Zea mays: one gene and its partners. The main gene of each other region encodes a partner of the protein of the gene in region 3 in a complex. Links are inferred from orthologs where the notes say so. Each region holds a gene or a part of one and is shown on either strand. Other genes may lie near its edges.

Region 1 (4,651 bases), about 30 Mb from region 3:
TGATCATTATATCCTAAGGGAGATAATGCTTCGAAGGACGAAGGTCTTTGACTATTAACGTTTTGTGTTGTCTTGTTCTTAACTCATAGCATTTGAGAACAAGTGACCAACAACCCCCCTCTAGGCGACTTTCAAAAATCGTCACACATCTCTTTTCTAAATTTACGCGCGTGTAGAGTAACGTGTTTGACTCATGTATGCCTTCCTTATTTTTTTTGCGCGCACAGATGTGGGGTTGGGGGGGGTGCACCCAACAGCCTGCTTAGGGTGTGGGTGGACGCGCTGGCCTGGACAAGTCACATAGGTGGTCGGGCGGGGCTTGCTCTAACTATTTGAAGCTCATGACTTCTAATATACCGACCTTATATATACACACACTAGCCAATTGCTCGTGTTTTGCTACGGTTGTTATTTACCTTATAAATAAGTATTGATATATGTATTCAAATATAATTATTGTTTATTTGTAAATATTAAGATACGCGTGGTCTGGTGGTTAGCCCCAAATTTCTGGAATAGAGAGGCATGGATTCGAGTGATCGTTTTGCACTATTTTTTGCACGTGGGGCCCACAGAGCACGACACCGAGGTAGGGCACGTGGGACGGGGCTAGAGTGTGAGCGCAGAGGGTGCCCACACTAGCACGCTAGTCGCACGTCAGCCACTATTCTCCATGAATCATGAAGGGAAACATGGACCTAAGGCTATCTGCAGCGGTCTTCTCTAAATTTCTCTCCATATATCACTTTTTTTTGTTACATCTTCAATATTTCAGCCCTTTAACTTTTCATCTCCCGCAGCGGTCTCTCCTATTTTCTCCCCTTGTAACTCACTACAACCATAAAATATTATTTCATATATTATTTTTTATCCACTATTAATTTTTCTTATATTAACAATTAGAGCCGAATCCAGATTACAGTAAAATAGAGAAGACGAGCGCACGCTACATTCAGTGGAAAAGAGAAGAGGACGGCACGCCCTTGCATCGTGGGAGGCACCGTAGACGTAGGGGCAGCGCTGCGGACTGCCGTGCGCCGTCATGTGTAAGGGGATGGGGCGCGACGCCCGGCAGCCGCTGCAGTTAGCCTAAAGTCGGCCTACACGTCTCCTCAACTTCAGCCGCCTGCTCAGTTGACAAGTTCAGAGCACTGTTTAAGTACTTTGTTGCTGAGCTGACGGAAGGAAGCAGAAATCAGATAACCACTGACTGGCAAATGTCGTCTGATGGTTGGTAGCACATGTTTCGTTGACCCATTTTCCATCAAGGATGGCATAGAGAGAAAAAAAACGAAGTGTAAACTCTTGAAGTCAGCACCACTTGCATTCTTATGTTTTGGTTGCTGTGTTCTAAACTATCTATTCAGATGTCTCCTGTATACATTTTCTTTACTCTGATATACCGGTATTTCTATATTCCGCTGCTTTTTTTTTTTTGCATTCCTCTATTTTGAATGCTCCTGTATCAAACAGATGCTTAGAAAATTGGTAAAAGGGGCTTAAGGCTCCTGTAAACCAAACCAAAAGCCCAGGAGCCCCAAACTGGAGGCACCAAGCACCCGCCTGGCCCATGTGCTGGTCCCCGAATCCCGACCTCGCCTCCAGTTCCACTCTTCCGGCGGCGTCGGCGGCCGCCCCTTCCCCACGCCCACACCATGTACGGCGTCGGCGGCGGCTTCAACGCGCCCTCCACCGCTGCCTCTCGGCGCCGCAACCCAGGCGACGAAGAGGAGGACGAGGAGGATGAGGGCGGTGAGGGCCGCGTCCTGGAGGCGTGGGAGCGCGCGTACGCGGACGAACGGTCGTGGGAGTCACTGCAGGAGGATGAGTCGGGCCTCCTCCGTCCCGTCGACACCAAGACCCTCGTCCACGCGCAGTACCGCCGGCGCCTCCTACTCCGGTCTGCCGCCGCCGCCGCTGCCCGCATCCAAAAGGGGCTCATCCGCTACCTCTACATCGTCATAGACCTCTCCCGGGTTCGTTCCCTTTGCTTCATGTTCTCTTTCGTTCGGCTTGCCACATCATCAAGCACCTGGCGAGCATATTTTTCTTCGAAGTCGGTTTGGTTGTTTTGGACCCGACAGACTGGTACAAATGCCGATCGTGCTAACTTGACACCGGCTTGTGATTGCGATCTCTTGTTCCGAGAGAGATGTGGCATTGCTTACGGCCTTACTTATGGGCTACACATTTGGTTCTTAAGTGTTCACTTACTTAAGGCATGAACGGAGCAGTGAATACTAGGACTGCCTTTTGCTAGTTTCGTATACCTGTAGGTTCATCTATAAGCTTGTGAAATGTTGTGAAGATGGTGCGGTGATGCCTGTCTGTGAGTAATCCTGGTTTATTTGTTTGTAGAGCGATGTAGGTGATATGATCTGATTGGTTGCCTTTAATGCCGTTTGTTTAGCCCCAAGCTGTGACCATTATCTTATTTGGCTTGTACATTCAGAGGGTGATGCTGTAATTGGAAGACACGAGGCCAATTTTAGAATCTAATGCTGATTTAGCAACTTTAAGATTGAGTCTTTGAGAGATCAATCATTTTATGTGAGGAAACAGTTTGTTAGATGGGTAAAAACGGTATTTTGGAAATTCTAAGATCTACCATGGTTTGTATCCATGGCCCATTGGCCAGGGCATAGGTATGGAGAACTCGAGACCTAATTCTCCACTAAATCCAGAAACCAATGCTACCTTAAGGTTATACGGTAAGAATTTCTGTACTGCAGAATAATAGACTCATGTCTATGAATCATGAAGGGAAACATGAACCCAGGTATTTGCAAATTGCAATTGTTAGTATTGCTGTTGGCAGCAATATTTTGTTTGGAGTTCAAGCCTACCACAACCAAGCAGTCCAAGTTCAATTTTATATGTGTGCACACCAATTGGATTGCTGAAACAAAATGTTGATGACACAATACTTGTTTGGAATTTTCATATATTGAGATTGGATTATCGTTTCATTTTATGCATGAGGTTCTTATCGGATGAATCCTGTTAAATTCTGAAATGTTTTAACTTTTAAGCATACTTTCTGATCTGGATACACTATGTATATTTGATATATGTCGGATAGAGTGAATGTCTCATGTCTCCCTCATCAAACAGACTATTTTTTTTTTCATCAGTTTGAAGGTGTTCCTGGGGAGGGTTATTGCTATTGCTGCCTGGATATGTCTGAAGATGCTTTTTTAATTGTTTCCCCACATCTGGGAAGTTAATTCTCTCTGTCAATCCTTGTATAGATTTCTGTAGAGAAGCAAATCACGTGCCATATGGTTTTGTTTTTACCATTGGCATGGCTTGCTCCAACAAAATCCTGACATCACAAGAAGTGCATGAACTATGGTTGCAGGAAAAGGTCTTTAACAATTACCACATAGTTGATCTATGGAACACTTCTATATGTAGACACAAAATATAGACTACTCTTGGAATTTAAAAATAAAAGGATGTTTTCATTTTTTTTGGTATTGATCCAGACCCTATGGATTTGCACAAATGAACAGTTAATCTTCACTGATGAATTAGGTAGATATGGAATTATTTGATACATGTTCATTTGACTTATGGTAACATTATTCCAGGACTTACTGCAAAGAGTCATCAGGATGTGATAATTTATTTTTGTTGTTAAAAATGTGCAAAGAATAATGTCTATTCAGCTGATTGTATATTTTATAATGTCAATTGAGATTTGAGAATGAAACAATCAAACACTGCTTTAACTAACATGGATTTTTTTTCTGATATGACAAAGCATACATTTTGATTTTTGTATTGTTTCGAAACTGCACATTTCTCGTAAAAAATATCTCTCTAACATCCTTGTCAATTGTTTTTTTCTCTGGTAATTTTATAACCTTATCTTTGAGCATGCATACATGTTTCAAGTTTATAAGATTGGCTTCCTCAGTTGTTTTTGTGGCAGCGAAGAATTGTTCTACTTCAAATAATCATTACACGCTCTTTGCACCTTTGCGTTCTCAAAATTGTTTTTTACTCATGTAGGCGGCTTCAGAGATGGATTATCGTCCTAGTCGAATGGCTGTTGTTGCAAAACATGCTGAGGCTTTCATAAGAGAATTCTTTGACCAGAATCCATTGAGCCATGTTGGCCTAGTGACAATTAAAGATGGTATTGCCCATCGACTTACAGAAATCGGAGGGAGCCCAGAGTCACAGATTAAGGCTTTGATGGGGAAGCTTGAGTGTTCTGGTGATTCATCCCTGCAGAATGCTCTAGACCTCGTACATGGTTATTTAGATCAAGTACCATCATATGGTCACAAGGAAGTTCTGATTTTATACTCTGCCCTGAATACATTTGATCCTGGTGATATCACGGAGACAATAGCAAAGTGTAAGAAGTCAAAAATTAGATGCTCTGTTATTGGTCTTGCTGCAGAGATCTTCATTTGCAAACATCTATGTGAAGAGACTGGTGGATCTTACACAGTTGCACTGGATGAGGTGCTAAGATGTAATTTTGATTTTACCTTTGATTATTCGATCGTTATGAAAGATTAACGGCATTTCCTTTCTTTTTACAGTCTCATTTCAAAGAGTTGTTACTGGAACATGCTCCCCCACCTCCTGCAATAGCAGAATATGCTGCAGCTAATTTGATTAAGATGGGCTTTCC
Region 2 (4,523 bases), on a different chromosome or scaffold from region 3:
AAATACTGACCAAATTTTGGCTTGGCCACCTAAGGCTTTAAACCAAATAGAACTAACCAAAATACACTAAAATCTCTCTCTATATCTCTACTATATTAAAATATGAGTTTCAACAGTCGTTCTGCGTCATCTTTTTACAAATAACACATCACATCTACTTCAAATTAACCTGTTGCACGCCTGTCCCCTTAACGGCAGCCTGGCACGGGCTCGACGCCCGCAGACCGCAGCTCTGGCCCAGGCACGACACACCGGCCCGTTAGCCCGTCGGGCCATTTGGTTAAATCAGCATAAAATGTTAAAAAATAGTGTCGAAGGTGGGGTTTGAACCCACGCCTATTGGAAGAATGGCGGGAGACACTAGGTGAAATCGTCTAACCAGTAGAACATCATACTCAGATGTTTTCAATATTGAATATAAATTGTACATGTGTATATATGCTTTTTTGTAAAATTAAAAATATATAATCGTGTCGGGTCGAGGCTACGGCCCAAGCATGGCACAACACTCATGTCGGGCTGGCCTAGACACTATTAAATGGGTCGTGCCTCAGACTAGCCCACCAGACACGACACATTTGATCATCTGTACCTTCGCACGATAATGATAGTACTCGACTCAGTTGTCACCACCTCGTTCGTCATCCTACTTCTTTTCTCTCTCCCCTCATGCCTCCGCCTCCGTGCCACCCCATTCTCGGCGGAGGGTGTGGAAGCAGACGCCTCCTCCCCATATTCGTCTGACACCAGCCCCTACACCGACCCACGCAGTGGCTATTGCACATCCATGAGGACGTTTCATAGCATGCGCGCACCATTGTTTTCGCCGCTGTCGGAAGTCTCGCTCGTCTTTCTGGCCTTCGCCATGTTCTTCCTCCCCAACCTGCTCCCCCGCCCACGGTTGCAGCCGCGAGCCGACCGACGCTCGTCGACACGAATATGGGGTGTGTCGGTCTTGCTCTTGGCCTTTCTCCGTGCGTGTTGCCGAGGAGGACACAATATTGTTGTGAGCCGTCGCAATAAAAAATTGTAAGATCTCTGTACGAGCCCAACCCAGAAGGTTGTACTTTAAATTCTACTCTAGGGGTACAAGGCCTGTTTGGTTCAACTTTTCTGAGAATCTGAATGTGGGGAGAATCTGGATGTGTAGAGAATTTGAGTATCGTTGCGATTATGTGCAAAGAAAGATGAATTTGTCTATAGGGCTCAGGATCTAGAAATTGACGGATTCCTATTATTGCAACGACTCAACCGATTATGTGTTTATATTGATTTCAGATGGTTTTACCAAAATTAATTTTATAGAAGCTAGCTAAAAAGTTGAGCGTTTAACCGTCCACAATAATTTTTGGTGGACAGAAACCGAAAAAACTGAAACAAAGAGGGCTATGAGTGGCCTTCCCACCCTTTGTATCGTTCATTCGTAGCCCGTAGCTCGCAGCCGACTCTGTTCTCTGTACCAGCCCAACCCAGAAGCCTATACTCGTTACGATTACGAGCCCACCAGCATCTCCTCTGCACGGGGGCATTCCACCGAGCACCTCACGTGATCTCCACCCCGCGGCGGCGGCGCGAGCACCGTCTCCGCCTCTCCGCTCTCCGGCGAATCAAACCCCTCCGGCGTTGCCCCTCGGTTGCCTTTCCCCTCCGCCACAATGCGGTTTGACCTGGATGGCCTGCCCGTGCACTTCCCGTACGCGGCGATCTACCCGGAGCAGCACGCGTACATGGGGGAGCTCAAGCGCGCCCTCGACGCGCGCGGGCACGCGCTGCTCGAGATGCCCACGGGCACCGGCAAGACGGCGGCGCTCATCTCCCTCATCACCTCCTACTCCCTCGCCAACCCGGCCCGCCCGCTCCGCCTCATCTATTGCACCCGCACCGTGCACGAGATGGAGAAGACCCTCGCCGAGCTCCGCCTCCTCTTCGCCCACCTCCCGCCCGCGGCCTCCCGCTCCCTCCTCGCGCTCGGCCTCTCCTCCCGCAAGAACCTCTGCATCCACCCGCAGGCGTCCGCCGCCGCCGCCCGGGACTCCGTCGACACCGCCTGCCGCCGCCTTACGGCCTCCTGGGTCCGCGAGAAGGCCTCCTCCGACCCGGACTCCACCCCGCTGTGCGAGTTCTACGAGACGTTCGACCGGGCCGCTGCCGCCGGCGACCTCGCCTCCTTCATGCCGCCCGGGGTGTACACCCTGGCAGACCTCCGCGCGCTCGGAAGGGAGCGCCGGGTCTGCCCTTACTTCCTTGCCAGGCAGATGGTCAAGTACGCCAATGTTGTGGTGTACAGCTACCAGTACCTGCTCGACCCCAAGGTGGCCAGCATTGTGTCCAGGGAGATGCAGAAGGAGTGTGTGGTCGTGTTCGATGAGGCTCACAACATTGACAATGTCTGCATAGAGGCGCTGAGCGTCAGCATCCGCAAGCAGACGCTGGAAGGCGCAGAGCGAAATCTGCGGCGCATCTCGCAAGAGATCGACAGGTACCACTCCCAATTGTTGGATATACTTAAGCCAGCCACCAATAGCCACTGAACGATAGGTCCTGTTTCTTTAGAACTATTCATCTTCAACTTTGTGATGGATAGTTAAGCTTGCTTTGCCAACTGCTTTATCTGGTAGGAAGGTTCAAGGCCACCGATGCCAATAGGCTTCGTGCTGAATACAACAGACTGGTGGATGGACTGGCACAGCGAGGAAATCTACCAAGTAAGCACTGGCCTTTTGCCACCAGTACTGCATTTCGCACTGTCAGCTATAGCCTTCTGCATATAGCTCACAGTATTATGCTTCTTGTGATGAAGTATCGGATGCTTGGCTCGCGAATCCGTCTTTGCCTGATGACATCTTGAAGGAAGCTGTTCCTGGAAACATAAGGAGGGCTGAACATTTTCTTGCTGTCTTGCGGAGGCTTGTGAGATTCCTTGATGGCCGGCTTGAAACAGAAAATGTTGAGAATGAAATGCCAGTTTCCTTTGTTGCCTCAATCCATTCCCAGGCTGGAATCGACCAAAAAATGCTGAGGTTTTGTTATGACCGGCTACACTCCCTAATGATGACATTAGAGATAACTGATACAGATGAGTTCATGCACATACAGACCATATGTGACTTTGCCACACTGATTGGAACTTATACACGGGGCTTTTCTATTATAATAGAGCCGTATGATGATAGAATGCCTGATATTCGTGATCCTGTTATTCAGGTACCCAGACTACTCTTTGTGATCATGCTGAAATTGTATACACACTCTGCTTCTTTAGTGTGCTACTAATGAACTCATTTGTTCTGCAGCTGAGTTGCCATGATGCTTCACTCGCAATAAGACCTGTTTTTGATCGTTTCGAAACGGTTGTGATCACTTCTGGAACTCTCAGCCCAATAGATCTTTACCCTCGTCTCTTGAATTTTAATCCTGTCATAAGCAGAAGCTTCACCATGTCCTTAACAAGAGATTGTATTTGTCCCATGGTCTTGACCCGAGGAAGGTATGAGCTGGTCCCACGCGAACTTCATATTTCAAAATCTACTGTACTGTAGCATGACACTTATGTTAAGCATGGCACTTATGTTAGTCTTTAAATGCTAGCATTGTCAACATATTCTTAGGTTTGGAAATGCTAACACTGTCTTGCGTATACATGATACATTTTTATTCCTGAGAATCATATGACACTTATGTTAAGCTTTTATAACATCTTTAGTTGTTTCCAACATTTCATATTACTGGTAGCATTGTACACTGTGTAAACACCAACCATTCCATCATCTTCAGTGATCAGCTACCTGTGAGTACAAAGTTCGATATGCGTAGTGATCCTGGTGTTGTGAGGAATTATGGCCGCCTCTTGCTGGAAATGGCTTCTGCTGTTCCAGATGGCATAGTTTGCTTTTTTGTCAGTTATTCCTATATGGATGGCATTGTCAACAGCTGGCACGAAATGGGAATTCTGCAGGTTATTTCTTTCACTTGTAAATTTCTTTCTCATATAAACCCTACAATTAATATAGATATGGCAATGAGGGATGTGTCTAATCGTGTAACACCTATGCAACTCAGCTAAGTTCATAAATCGTCCATATCTGTTAGATAATTGGGCATGTCCTCTGGAACATCATCGGTTTATAGTAAGTATATGAAATGGTGTCTAAGCATCTAATTCCATATTGTTGTCTGTTTTAGATTTTCCATTCAACTATCTATATTGATAATAACTTAATAAGACTATAAGTCTATAAGAGTCTCAAGTTGCATTAAGACTCACTCCTGTAGACACTGTCAAATTATTTATTACATCGGCAACATGCATAATTGCATATGGAACTGGATAGGCTGCTTTAAGTCTTTCCTTTGGTTCTAGATAGATGCTATCTAGTCTTTGGACAAAGAACTACATCTACCATATCTTCGGTTTTGTTATCTAAAGGATATGCTCGGTATTGGTGCTAATTTTTGTTATCCACAAAGATATGCTAGTCATCTGTGTTATGAAAATAAAATACCTGTAAATGTTATATAGCCAA
Region 3 (4,533 bases):
ACGGCGACCTGCTGCTGTCTGCTGGGGAACGGCGGTGTCGGGATGCTGCCTGCTGGTGCGGCCGACGGTGCACTCGAGATGCCTGTCTCAGGTTTAGCCGGTTAGGGTTAGGAGAATAGGATAGGAAGGGTTTAGGAGTATCAGTCGGCATGCTAGCAGGCTAGCAGCAGCCAACACTCCAACAACGACACGACCTGCACACGTCGGGATGCCTTTGGGCTTTTTTGCTTTGCTTCATGGGCCAAAAACACAACATGTGAAATTGTGAATTAATATTTCGGATATCCAGTGGATACCCATGGATAAAATATATTATCCGTACCCTACCCGACGTATTTCGGGTACCCCACCCGACAGGATCCACGGGTGAGTTTTTCAACCCGTATCCATGTTCATTGGGTACGAAACCCGTGGGTATCCATACCCACGGGTCCAATTGCCATCCCTAGCTGCGTTATAGCAAATAGCGATTCCCATTGCCTAGGTACAATGCCAAATAGGCTCAGTGCTCAACACTGAATAAGACGAGACGAGGAGGTGCTACAGTCTGCAAAAGGATGTCCGCCACTCTGCCCCTGCGGAGGTGAGCAGCGGCTGAATCCCTAGAACGTCGGCAGGGGAGAGATGGGCACGGCGGGTGACTGGGTCCCTCACGCAGCAGTGGATGAGGAGCAGAAGACGGGGCACAGAGCAGCGGGGGATAGTGTGGCGGTGGCAGCGCAAAGCGAGGCGAGGCAGACAGCTAGAGTCAAGGCCTCGCGGTCGCGGGTGTTGAATCTTCATTTCACGCCCGGAGATAGCAGCAGTGGGACCAGGAAGGACGATGGCAGCGCTTGCGGCTGGGTAGGATGGCGTCGTCGCGACTGGAAAGGGGAGCGGCGGGGCGACACGAGGGACAGGGGAGGAGGAGGAGGGTGCGGGCCGTGATGGCAACAGGAAAGCGGGATGAATGAATGGACAAGCGGACGAAGAACACATGACAAAATGAGAATGGTTGGATGGAGATGAACTAGCTCTGCCAAACCCCGATAGGAGGAGAGACTTCCCACGATAAGGAGAAAAGTGGATTTATGCCATTATAAAACTTAGGATTCGCTCAAATGCCATTATGGGAACACGCTTCGCTAAGAGACCATTATCAAACGTTGTCTTACAGACAAAATGCCATTTGGGGGGTTATTTGAAACTTAACCTTATTTGATTATATTGGCAGCTAGTGGCCGGACACTTTTGCCCCTATCAAATCTGTTCGCCGTTCTCCCTCCCCCGACAAATTCAGAACACAGTCGGCAGTCGCTAACACGCGATGGGATACGGCGAACACCGAGCAGCAGGTCTCTAAACTAAAACTTTGGCAGCACTCTTAACCAGTCAACAACAGATCACCAACCATTCGATTTCACACAAATGTAATCCTACTGCAAGTGCAACAGCCACCTTTAGAGGCGTTCATTAGCAAACGCTAGAAAAACTGCAAATGGCCATATTCATATCGAACCAATATGCATAGTTGAATCACGTAAGAAGCAGACCAGACCAATATGCCACTAGTTGAAGAAACAATCAAATCGAACCAGTGGAGATCTTTATAAATTAATTCGAGATAATAACTAGGCAAACCAATTCTATATCATAGTTTCATTCAATAGGATGGGATAGCAGGCGATTCGAGCTGTTGATTGGGAATCTAACCGAGCTGCTCACCTGCAGATTGGAATTGGATCGATGGATGGACCGCGGACGCCCGCACGCCGATTGGATCTCCTCCTCCTTGGGCGGCTGCTAACTGGGTTGGGATGGGACAGGAGCCTTCCTCGCCACAGCTGCCGTGCCGTGCTGCTCCTCTTCTCCGAGACGCTGGGACCCCGATTAGAGACGTCTGGAAGACGGGAGGCGGAGAGGTATGACGTGACGGAGTTTCGTCGTCTAACTCCACCGGCGCGCTGAACCTTCAGCTCGGCCTGCAGGAGGACGCTGGGAGCTTCGGCTGCGTCGGGGCAGGAGCCGGTCGTTAGGCCGAGTAAGCGGGTGCGGTCCGGATCACCGGGGGCGCTGGGGGAGGGCCGGGCGGCGGTGGGACTGCCAACGGAGGCGCGAGCTACCCGATGTGCCAGATGGATGACTGCCGAGCGGATCTGACCAGCCGCCAGCGCCCGCCGGTGGAGCTCGCCGAGCGTCTGTGGACCACCGCTGGTGGAGGGAGAGCGCCGAGCACCGGTGGAGGAGAGCGACGTCGTCGTCGGTTTTGGTGGAGGGGACACAGAGGATAGAGAAGAGAGCGCCGTCGGGTTTGAGATGCAGGCGCTTTTAGTTCGAAGGGCAAAAGTGTCCGGTTACTGCGGTTACTGGCTGCCAATATAATTAAATAAGGTTAAGTTTTAAATAACCTTTAAATGATATTTTATTTGTAAGACAACGTTTGATAATGGTTTTTTAGCTAAACGTGTTTCTATAATAGTATTTGAGCGAATCTTAAGTTTTACAATAATGACATAAATTCAATTTTCTCCGCGATAAGACGCGATAAGATACAGGAACTATGGTGCTCAAGGCTCACTATAAACTACAAGAACAGACACTCATTGTGCTTAGTCTAAGAGCCTGAAATTATAACGACAAACACCGATATCTAGTGAACAACAAACAAAGAAAACTAGTGAAGAACAAACAAATTTACTCTTGTACAGTATACAGTGACCAGCTGCCCCAGAGGCTATAAGCAAGCATACTGATATTGCCATCTAGACTTTAACTGGCTGCGGTCCAACAAGCACAAAAGAAAAGTAGGCTACTAAAGAATCAGATCAAATACCTGTTATAAGAGAAACTGAGAACCTGCAGTCTGCAGAGAAGCCAGGTCTGGCTGAGTGAGTGGGTTGCAGCCGGGGCCGGACAGAGGCTCGACGCGCGCGAGCCGGGGCGGGGCTCGACGCCTGGTGGACTGCGGGCGGGCGGCGGGCGGGGCGCAGCCGCTCGGGGCGGAGATGGAGGCGGGCGGCGCTGACGGTGGCCTAGGCCCTGGGCGGCTGGGCGATATCCTGCTCCTCGAGGCGAAGTAATTATTTTAGGGTGTGTCTGGTATATGACTCTGTTTTATTTTAGAGCAGCTTTATTTAAAAAAACTCTAGATATATTAGTTTTGTATCATAATTTAGATTGTTTTATCATGGCTAGTGGCAGTGATAGGTACTCTAAAAATTGTTTAGATTGTTTTTTAGAGATTTTGAGTAGTAAAATAGGTACTTTAAAAAATTGTACTATAGTTTTTAAAACTCTACGTAGTTTGCAACTCTGAAGCTAGAGTGTTTGACAGACGTTGGTCGGTTTCTCAATAAAGTTTTGCTCTAGAACTATGTCAAACACGTACTTAGTCACTTAGGAGTTAGAGATCTAAACATAATGAGCTAAAAGTGACTAAAGGCATGTTTGTAAGCAACCTAACTTTTAAGATTCTAGTTTTTAGAAACCTGGTTTAAAAGCACTAGATAGTAGTGTTTGAAACCACATCAGTTCTTATAAACTGCCTTTAGCTAGGGGAGACTAGCTTCTTAGTTTTAAGAAACTGAGAATCCAACTTTTATAAATTATAAAAAAAAACTAGTATGTTTGGAACCACCTCGATTTCATAGACCAATTTTTAAAAAAAACGAGTGTTTCCAAATAGGTCTTAAATATAGTCACTTTTAGCTCTTCATATTTAAATGTTTAACTCCTAAATGATTAAAAATAGTCATCTTTAAAGTTTAACTCATAAATGATTAAAATTAGTCAATTTTTTGCTTTAGCTCGTGAGATCCAAATAAACCCTTAGATCTGCCCCTAGTTGAAGAGACTGGTTTTTTTGGTTGACCATGGTCCTTGAACAGTTTGGCATTGCGAGGAGGCTCAATGTTGAGTTGAAAGACAAACATCTTTTTTCTATTTGTCGGTCAATAGAGTGGGTTAACGTGTATCTACAAATATGTTGAAAGTCGCCTAGAGGGGGTGAATAGGTGAAACCTGAAATTTATAAACTTAAACTTGCACTAAGGTCGGGGTTAGCATTAGAATTAAATTGGAATTCGAAAGATAGCTCTCCTGACTTAGAGTTGCTCAATCAATGCGAATGACGTTTGGGAGCAAACTCAAATCAATATGAACAAGGGAACTTTAGAGAGAGGAAACAGGGGAACAAATCAAATGAGAATCAATGCAAGTGGACACGATGATTTGTTTACCGAGGTTCGGTTCCAAAGAACCTAGTGCCCGTTGAGGAGGCCACAAAGGCCGGGTCTATTCCAACCCTTTCCCCTCTCAATCGGTCACATAGACCGGTCGAGCCTTCTCTTTAATCAGTTGGTTCACTAAGACCCCGCAAGGATCACAACACACTTAGGTGTCTCTTGCTAACTTTACAAAGCACTTATGAGAATAAGAATAGAGAAGGAGAAAGCAATCCAAGCAACAAGAGAACACAAATATTTCTCTCACAAGTCTCTTAAGCACTAGAGTTGATTTTAGGAGCTTGGAGTGGATTGAATGTTTTGAATGCGT
Region 4 (3,482 bases), on a different chromosome or scaffold from region 3:
CAATGAGGTATTAAAATGAGAAAGAATCATCTCCATCAGGTTTAGCGGGGACGAGTATGGTAGTCTCTTCTTCGTCCCTAATCCTCACGAGCCCATATAAACAGGCACTAAAGAATTCGGGCCATAGAATTAAGACTCAATGACCGACATATATAAAGTGACCAGCAAAGTGAGAAAACTAGCTTCTATTCTGTCATCGTCGCCGACTCGACTCTCTCGTTCGTCCTCCCAAATCCCAATCTCCCTCGAGCGGGCGGGCCAGGCAGCAGACCAGCTCTCCAGCGTGCTGGGTGCAGGGCTGCACCGCTACAAGCCGTGCAGCACACTGCACATCCCCTCAGGTTTGATTGTTTGAGACCGTCACAGTCATGTTCACCTGGAGGCTGGAGGCCGCTGGCCGCAGGTCTCTCACTCTCTTTGTCTCCTCAATTACTACTACCTAACACATCTTTGGTCACTTGTATTAGCAAATCTTGGGCAGCGGCACATCTGCACATGCCGTGCATTCATATAGCCACGTCCATGCTGCACGCACAAATTTTATTTTGTTTGATAATTACTTCCCCACCAAATGAGCTACGTTCTTGTCCAAAATTATAATAAATGCGCAAGTGATTTGCTGTGTGGTGGTGTGAAGCTCTGCGCGAAGTGATTTGTGTATTTTTTTCTCCTTTTTCATGAAATTTCGCAATTTAAGGTCATCTAATTTATTGGGTATGAGTACGACAGTTTAAGTATCAAATTTATGAATACCTAGTACCTAGTTAATCAGCAACCTTGCAGACCTAAAATATCCTAGATTTGTAGTAAGTTTTTCACCATCACCTTTTCAAAATTCTGTTACACAGTGTGGTTCCTCACTGAATTTTAAGTACTGTCATATGACAATTTGGTTCTGCTATTGCTGGACATAAATTTGTAATTCTCTGTTCACGCATTACACCGAACAACTACAGGGTACGGAGGGATTCAACGACAAACATAATAATCGCTTCTATTATTTTCGTAGGGGCAAGTAGGCCAGTCATCAACCGAGGTCAGCTGAGTCAGGAGAGGAGGAAGTGGCCCTCGGGTGTTCCATGATTCGTACGCAATTTTTTTTTTGGAAATTTAGATTCATACCATTAAAAGATCACCACTTTGGATCCATACCATTACTATCTCACTTATATATAGGTCCACATGAGTCAATGACATGTGTGATCCATGATATATATCTAAAGTTTGGATCTTTTAATGGTATAGATCTAATTGTTCTTTTTTTTTTTTGTGGACGGAAACTGCGGTGTCAAATTGCAAGAAATGGGTCGGACCGTGGGCTGTGAACATGGGTTTGGTGGGCGGGCGAAGAAGCCAGCGGGCCCAGCATCTTTATCGTCTGCCGCAAAGAGGGCTGAAGGAGAAGCGAGGAAAGGTGAGGCCGATAGATAGAGGAGCTGCGGCGCCGCCGGCGAGCGAAGAGTGGAGGATCCGATCCGAAGCGAGAGGACTGAATCCTGCGGCCGGGAGGGACGCGGGACCACGACGAGCGTCGTCGTCGGTGCCAAGCAACGGTGAGGCCGTCTCGGATCTGAACTTTTTTGTTTGGTTTTTTTCCCTCCCGTTCTGAATCGACATGGTGAGAGCAAGAGAGTTGGGAATTGGGACGGATCATGGAACTCCCCGAGGGCCACTTCTTCCTCCGACTCAGCTGACCTCGGTTGATGATTGGCCTACTTGCCGCTACGAAAATAATAGAAGCGATTATTATGTTTGTCGTTGAATCCCTCCGTGCCCTGTAGTTGTTCGGTGTAATGCGTGCACAGAGAATTACAAGATATCCGCTGAGATTATGCGCGCAAGAAAACGTGGAGCATCTTGCTGACCCTTTGTTCTGTCCTTCAACCAATCCTACAATCACTGCGACACCAGTCTATCACCTTCATGCGCGTCGTTTTCGTGCGAAAAGTTTGCAGTCCTGGTGCTGCTTCTTTGGTACTCCAACTGACGTTGTTTCTGTGTGGCGATGTAACCAGGCAGTTGTCCCTGTCCAGAGCACAGGCAAGATGGTTAACGCGATCAAGGGGCTGTTCATCTCCTGGTAAGCTCTCCTGACGCAGCTGAAAATGAATCCCTCGTTTGCATTTCTCCCTCTCTCCCTGCCTTTACATGGTTGCCGTCCGTCCGTCCCTCTATTTTTCAGCGACGTACCTATGGCACAGTTCATCGTCAACCTGAACGCGTCGATGCCGCCGTCGGAGAGGTTCATCGTGCACATGCTCGACCCTACCAACATGTTCGTGCAGCCTCACGTGGCGCACATGATCAGGAGCAAGATCGGGGAGTTCAGGGACCAGAACAGCTACGAGAAGCCGCAGTAGTGGAGGATCTACCGCGTCCTACACTCCTTCCTTGGGACTTGCTTTCGTTGCCTGTATTATTTCTGCTGTGAGCTGAGCACCTCAGCGGAAACGAGTACGCCAAATAGATCCCACCTGTGGCCTTGAAATCATACTGCTATGTGCTATAAACGTGCAGAGGGCACTGCTACTGTGCTGCACTTGTGGTATTCTGGGATTCTTTTTGTCAGGTCCTTAAAATCCGTTGAGAATTTGAGATCCAGATGGGGCTTAGACCCCGTTTCAATCTCACGGAATAAACTTTAGCTTCCTGCTAAACTTTAGCTATATGAATTGAAGTGCTAAAGTTTAGTTTCAATTACCACCATTAACTCTTCTGTTTAGATTATAAATGGCTAAAAGTAGCTAAAAAAAGCTGCTAAAGTTTATCTCGCGAGATTGGAACAGGGCCATAGTCACGTATATCTGTGCCTTTATTTGTATGTATCTTTGTCTTGCTATGGACAACAAAACTACGGTGGCACACTAACAGGTAGTTTGGAAATCCAAATCCTCTAGAGATCCCTATATTTTCCCTCGGTGAGTAATCCTAGGAACATTATCTGCATAAGGGCTTGCTTGAGAGCAATGATATTCAAAATTGAATAACATGAGAATTTTAGACTCTTATAAGCCCTTCTAGTATTCTTGCTCTCAAACAAACCCTAGGATTAGGGCTGGAAACGAGCCGAGCGGTGCAGCTCGGTGGCCGACCGAGCTCGGTTCGGCTCGTCTGTTTCACGAGCTGGAGAAACAGGCTCGGTTCAAAGGCGGCTCGCGAGCCATACCCTGATATTATATAATTTCATTATATAGTGAATTATTAGTATATAAATATGAAATATATAGATATCATTCATTATTATGAGTAATCTAAATTATTGTTTTTATATATCTATCATAAAACGCTAAGTAACTTACAATCTATAAAATTAGCTAATATCCATCATTATATCATTATTCTATATGTTAAGTAATTTGTCACAGCTCACGAGTCGGAACGAGCCGCTCGATGCTCGCGAGCCGAGCCGCTCCGAGCTCGAGCCGGCTCGCAAGCCTCGAGCTTATTTTCTAGCTCTACATAGGATATTTAGTTATTTATAG
Region 5 (4,097 bases), on a different chromosome or scaffold from region 3:
CCAAAGTTGGGGAGGGTCGAAGTAGAAGGTCGTAGTCGAGGGAGACACGGAGATAACGCAGGATCCGCTTGAGAGTGGTGAGATGCGGCTCTTGTGGGGTGTGCATGTGCAGGCACACCTGCTGAACGTCATAGGCGATGTCGGGCCTAGAGAAGGTCATGTACTGGAGGGCTCCGGTCAGGCTTCGGTAGGACGTCGCGTCGGCGACTGGAGGCCCGTCAGTGTCGACAGGCGTGGAGCAGGGCTTGCAGCCGGACATGCCAACCCGCTCCAGGATGTCGATGGTGTACTGCGCTGGTGGAGGAAGAGACCCTTAGGCCGGCGCTCGGCGGTGATGCCGAGGAAGTGGTGAAAAGGCCCCAGATCTTTAATCGCGAACTCTAGCTGAAGGGCGTCGATCATGCGTTGTAAAAGGTCGGCGATGGATGTCGTGAGCACAATGTCGTCGACGTAGAGCAGGAGGTAGACGATGTCGTCCACGCCGGTAGATGAACAAGGACGTGTCCGACTTGGCCTCGCCGAAGCCGATGGAGGCCAAGTAGGAAGCGAAGCGACTGTACCATGCCCACGACGTCTGTTTGAGGTCGTACAGGGAGCGGTTCAGCCGGCAAACCAGATCTGAACAAGCGGAGTCAACGAAGCCGGTGGGTTGGCTGTAGTAGACAGTCTCCGTCAGAGTGTCGTGGAGGAAGGCATTCTTGACATCGAGCTGATGAATCGCGCAGTCCCAGGAGCAGGCGAGGGTGAGAACGATCCGAACGGTCGCGAACTTGATGACGGGGCTGAAGGTCTCGTCGTAGTCGACTTCGGTGCGCTGGGTGAAGCCCCGAAGGACCCAACGGGGCTTGTAGTGGTCGAGAGAGCCATCCAAGGTCAGCTTGTGGCGAAAAATCCACTTGCTGGTGACCACGTTGGTGCCTGGTAGATGCGAGACCGGGTCCCAGGTGTGGTTGGCCAACAGGGCCGTGTACTCCTCCATAGCTAGAGATGGCAATGGGTACCCGTAAACCACGACGGGTTTTACCAGATATGTTGGCAGGTATGGGATGGTTTCTCTGCACGTGGGTACATTAGTGGGTAATAATCTCTACTCGTTGGGTAGACGGGTACGAGTATGGGTGCGTACTACCCATACCCATGTAACCGTGGGTAAAATATACCCGCATCATACTATTATTGTCAATAATAAAGCATATCTTAGCTAAAAGAAAATCATTCTCCAGATATTATTTGTTTAACTATTAATTTATGTAATCACATGGTTTGATATATTTTAAGATACTTATATTTGTGTCTTTATTTAACATTCTAAGTGATAAGAATATTAGAATGAGACCTTCCGCGGGTACGGGTTACCTGACGGGTAAAATTACCCGCGCGGGTACGAGTATGGGTAAGATTCTATGCCCGCGAGTGTATATGGGTAACCCGACGGGTATAATTTTTATTGATGGGTATGGGTATCGAATGGTACTACCCGATGGGTATATACCCGTTGACATCCCTATCCATGGCGCGACAATAGTGGGGGTCGGCGAGGGCGGCGCGAACGGAGGAGGGGACTGAGGAGGAGTCCGGAGGAGCGTTAGCCGTCAGGATCAACCGATCGACGGCGCGGAGAACGCCGGTTGCGTGACGAGTCACCATCGGGTGGACGTGCCCGGGGTGGCAGTGGATGGCGACCGGATGGTACACGGGAGGCTCGGTGGGGGCAAGCGGGTCGTCAGGAGCGGAGGAAGGGGCCATCTCGCAGCGGTGGTAGACGAGGGCGGGTCGTTGAAGCGAGTCGCGCTCGTCAACGGTGCTGGTTCGACGGGGGCTAAGAGAGTGGCCTGCCCATGGCGGTGGTAGACGAGAGCGGGGTCGACGAAGCGGGCGCGCTCTTCGATGGGGCCGCGCGTGGCGCTGGCGAGGTCAACGAGGCCGCACGTGGCGTAGGCGGGGCCGCGCGTGGCGTTGGAAGAGACGCGAGCGAGGGCGTCGAGGTCGCGCGTGGCGCGGGTAACGGCGCGAGGCAAGGCGTCTAGGCCGCACATGGGGCGGGTAGAGGCGCGAGCGTTGGCGTCTGAGCCTACGGAAAAGCAGGCAAGAGCAACTGGGGTGGAGGGGGAACCAGATCGGACTCAAGGAGAGAGAAGTGGAAAAAGAAACCTAGCTCTATACCATATGGGAAACCCTAATCCTAACTCAGGGTTAGGTGATGTATTAATGGACCAAGGTTATTGGGCCTGGCCCATTACACAAGGGTGTGACGGTAATTACAAGGGACTAACCCCAAAACCCTAAACGGGTACTCTAATAGGAACAAATAAAGGTACCAAAAAAGACTCTCATCAGACAGGAAACACACTTGAACATAAAACTTACCCGCAGGTTGAACACTTCTTCTGATTCTTGCAGAATATTGACAAACAAATTGAACAGACATATCCCATGTCAATAGTCTTCTTATGGCAGAAACACCTGCAAATCAGTAAAACAATGCTGAGTGCATTGATGTGCCACCAATACTAGACACGGAAAGAAATAAAACAGAACTAGAGTTGCTAATGTGGACCAGCCTTTGACCTGATTGTAAAATTACAGAAAAAGAAAAGGAAGATAAGTCTAGTCTAGTGTTGATGGTTAATAGAGGAAACGTACGAAGCACGGAAGTCCACTCCAAGAGTTTTTGGAAGGCGCAGAAAAGCTCTAGAGTGTAAATCAGTTGCAAATACAGCCTACATTATTGTTGAAATGTGTCAATGAGCTCGAGGAACTAAAAGAGAAATAAATTATTTCAAATAATCAAATAAGCCCACACAAAGTTATGTATACAAACAAAAGAAGATGGTATCAAAATAATATGGTATTCAAATAACAAATTTCGCTAGTAAGACACCGTATTGCCATACTAAAGTGAAGAAAGTCATCTGCACAACAACTAGATCTTGGTTCCGTCAATCAGACATGGCTAATCTCTTAGACATATGTAAAAATAAAAAGAAGTGACTAAGATATAATCTGATTAATGTTTGCAGCACTTATTGTGAAACAACAAACAAGAACAAAGATCTGAACTGCAAAGGATACAGAAGTGACCAATAAACTTCTACAGCTCTTAGTCTAATTCACAGTTCAGGAAAGCACAAAAGGCAAAAGATCTCAGATTTATTAATTATAATAGCAAACCAAACATGAGGAAAATAAATGCAAATAAAATTTTCAATTGGTATGATAACAAAATGGTAATAATGTCATCACGTTTTAGAGGGTAGTAGATTTAGTGTGATCGAAGTTCTAGGATAATCCCTTTCGCTATTGTGTGAAAATATAGAGCACAATACAACTATAAAATATATTATTCTATCAAAAAGACCATAAAAATAATAATATCATAATAATAAGTACTAGGTATATGTCTGTGCGTTGCCACGAGGCGGGTAGCGTGGGGGCGGCGCCTAGGCTGTAAATATAATTATTGTTTATTTCTAAACACTAAAATACATGTAGTCTGGTGGTTAGCCCCAAATTATTAGAGCAGAGGGGTGTGGGTTCGAGTGCTTGCTTTGCACTATTTTTTACGGGTGCTGGGTGTGGGGAGTGTGAAGCCATGGTAGTATAGGTGCCAACATTAGCTTCTTAATAGATTAGTATAGAAGTATAGATATAGATTCCCGTATCATCATCTGCCATCTTGTGACTCCTAGTCCTAGGAAATAAAAGAACTAAGGCCTAGAGCCTAGCGGTGTGGAGTCCTTTTACCTGTCATCCCATCACTGCCTGATTTAAGGTCAGGGCCTAGGATTTAAAAACACATCTTAGGTTTGCTGATAACTTCACATCACTTTACTTTGGCGAAGGATGAAACAGAACATCACACTTTTGTTAATGTAGCGGTTGAGAGAACCCATTCCTTGTTGTCATGATCCCTCTTATGAGGGAAAAGTTTGGTAGGAAGGCTTCCGTAGTTTACCAACTAAGGGAAAATAATTATCCGTATTTGATATGTGATTCTTTGACTTTTTGATTTGATGTCAATCCAATTATAACTGCTGTGATAACTATTGACATATTTTTCTTTTTCCAATTGCAGCACTACTAATATTTTATGGCAT

Evidence for each region.
Region 1: general transcription and DNA repair factor IIH subunit TFB2 (region 3) and General transcription factor IIH subunit 2-like share a complex: the UniProt entries of both Arabidopsis thaliana proteins name them as parts of the 7-subunit TFIIH core complex. The link is inferred for Zea mays from reciprocal best matches to the Arabidopsis thaliana genes AT4G17020 and GTF2H2.
Region 2: general transcription and DNA repair factor IIH subunit TFB2 (region 3) and DNA repair helicase UVH6 share a complex: the UniProt entries of both Arabidopsis thaliana proteins name them as parts of the 7-subunit TFIIH core complex. The link is inferred for Zea mays from reciprocal best matches to the Arabidopsis thaliana genes AT4G17020 and UVH6.
Region 4: general transcription and DNA repair factor IIH subunit TFB2 (region 3) and REX1 DNA Repair family protein share a complex: the UniProt entries of both Arabidopsis thaliana proteins name them as parts of the 7-subunit TFIIH core complex. The link is inferred for Zea mays from reciprocal best matches to the Arabidopsis thaliana genes AT4G17020 and AT1G12400.
Region 5: general transcription and DNA repair factor IIH subunit TFB2 (region 3) and General transcription and DNA repair factor IIH subunit TFB4-like share a complex: the UniProt entries of both Arabidopsis thaliana proteins name them as parts of the 7-subunit TFIIH core complex. The link is inferred for Zea mays from reciprocal best matches to the Arabidopsis thaliana genes AT4G17020 and AT1G18340.

The regions. Positions count from the first base shown.
Region 1 is NC_050097.1:31,349,107-31,353,757, forward strand, and holds the start of General transcription factor IIH subunit 2-like, read left to right. Parts: upstream 1-1,635; 5' UTR 1,636-1,655; coding exon 1,656-1,976; intron 1,977-4,017; coding exon 4,018-4,479; intron 4,480-4,559; coding exon 4,560-4,651. UniProt on the Arabidopsis thaliana protein: Component of the general transcription and DNA repair factor IIH (TFIIH) core complex, which is involved in general and transcription-coupled nucleotide excision repair (NER) of damaged DNA and, when complexed to CAK, in RNA transcription by RNA polymerase II.
Region 2 is NC_050105.1:91,195,987-91,200,509, forward strand, and holds the start of DNA repair helicase UVH6, read left to right. Parts: upstream 1-1,430; 5' UTR 1,431-1,655; coding exon 1,656-2,479; intron 2,480-2,622; coding exon 2,623-2,705; intron 2,706-2,800; coding exon 2,801-3,204; intron 3,205-3,293; coding exon 3,294-3,487; intron 3,488-3,774; coding exon 3,775-3,955; intron 3,956-4,523. UniProt on the Arabidopsis thaliana protein: ATP-dependent 5'-3' DNA helicase, component of the general transcription and DNA repair factor IIH (TFIIH) core complex, which is involved in general and transcription-coupled nucleotide excision repair (NER) of damaged DNA and, when complexed to CDK-activating kinase (CAK), involved in transcription by RNA polymerase II.
Region 3 is NC_050097.1:1,588,588-1,593,120, forward strand, and holds the start of general transcription and DNA repair factor IIH subunit TFB2, read right to left. Parts: upstream 3,292-4,533; 5' UTR 2,813-3,291; intron 2,332-2,812; exon of another isoform or gene 1,787-2,331; coding exon of another isoform or gene 1,711-1,786; exon of another isoform or gene 1,705-1,710; intron 92-1,704; coding exon of another isoform or gene 1-91. Other genes in the region: uncharacterized protein, read left to right, coding at 1-91, 1,711-1,786. UniProt on the Arabidopsis thaliana protein: Component of the general transcription and DNA repair factor IIH (TFIIH) core complex, which is involved in general and transcription-coupled nucleotide excision repair (NER) of damaged DNA and, when complexed to CAK, in RNA transcription by RNA polymerase II.
Region 4 is NC_050101.1:47,599,183-47,602,664, reverse strand, and holds REX1 DNA Repair family protein, read left to right. Parts: upstream 1-1,367; 5' UTR 1,368-1,553; intron 1,554-2,015; 5' UTR 2,016-2,045; coding exon 2,046-2,080; intron 2,081-2,182; coding exon 2,183-2,360; 3' UTR 2,361-2,599; downstream 2,600-3,482. UniProt on the Arabidopsis thaliana protein: Component of the general transcription and DNA repair factor IIH (TFIIH) core complex, which is involved in general and transcription-coupled nucleotide excision repair (NER) of damaged DNA and, when complexed to CAK, in RNA transcription by RNA polymerase II.
Region 5 is NC_050099.1:247,470,195-247,474,291, forward strand, and holds part of General transcription and DNA repair factor IIH subunit TFB4-like, read right to left. Parts: exon of another isoform or gene 2,740-4,097; intron 2,721-2,739; coding exon 2,644-2,720; intron 2,464-2,643; coding exon 2,368-2,463; intron 1-2,367. UniProt on the Arabidopsis thaliana protein: Component of the general transcription and DNA repair factor IIH (TFIIH) core complex, which is involved in general and transcription-coupled nucleotide excision repair (NER) of damaged DNA and, when complexed to CAK, in RNA transcription by RNA polymerase II.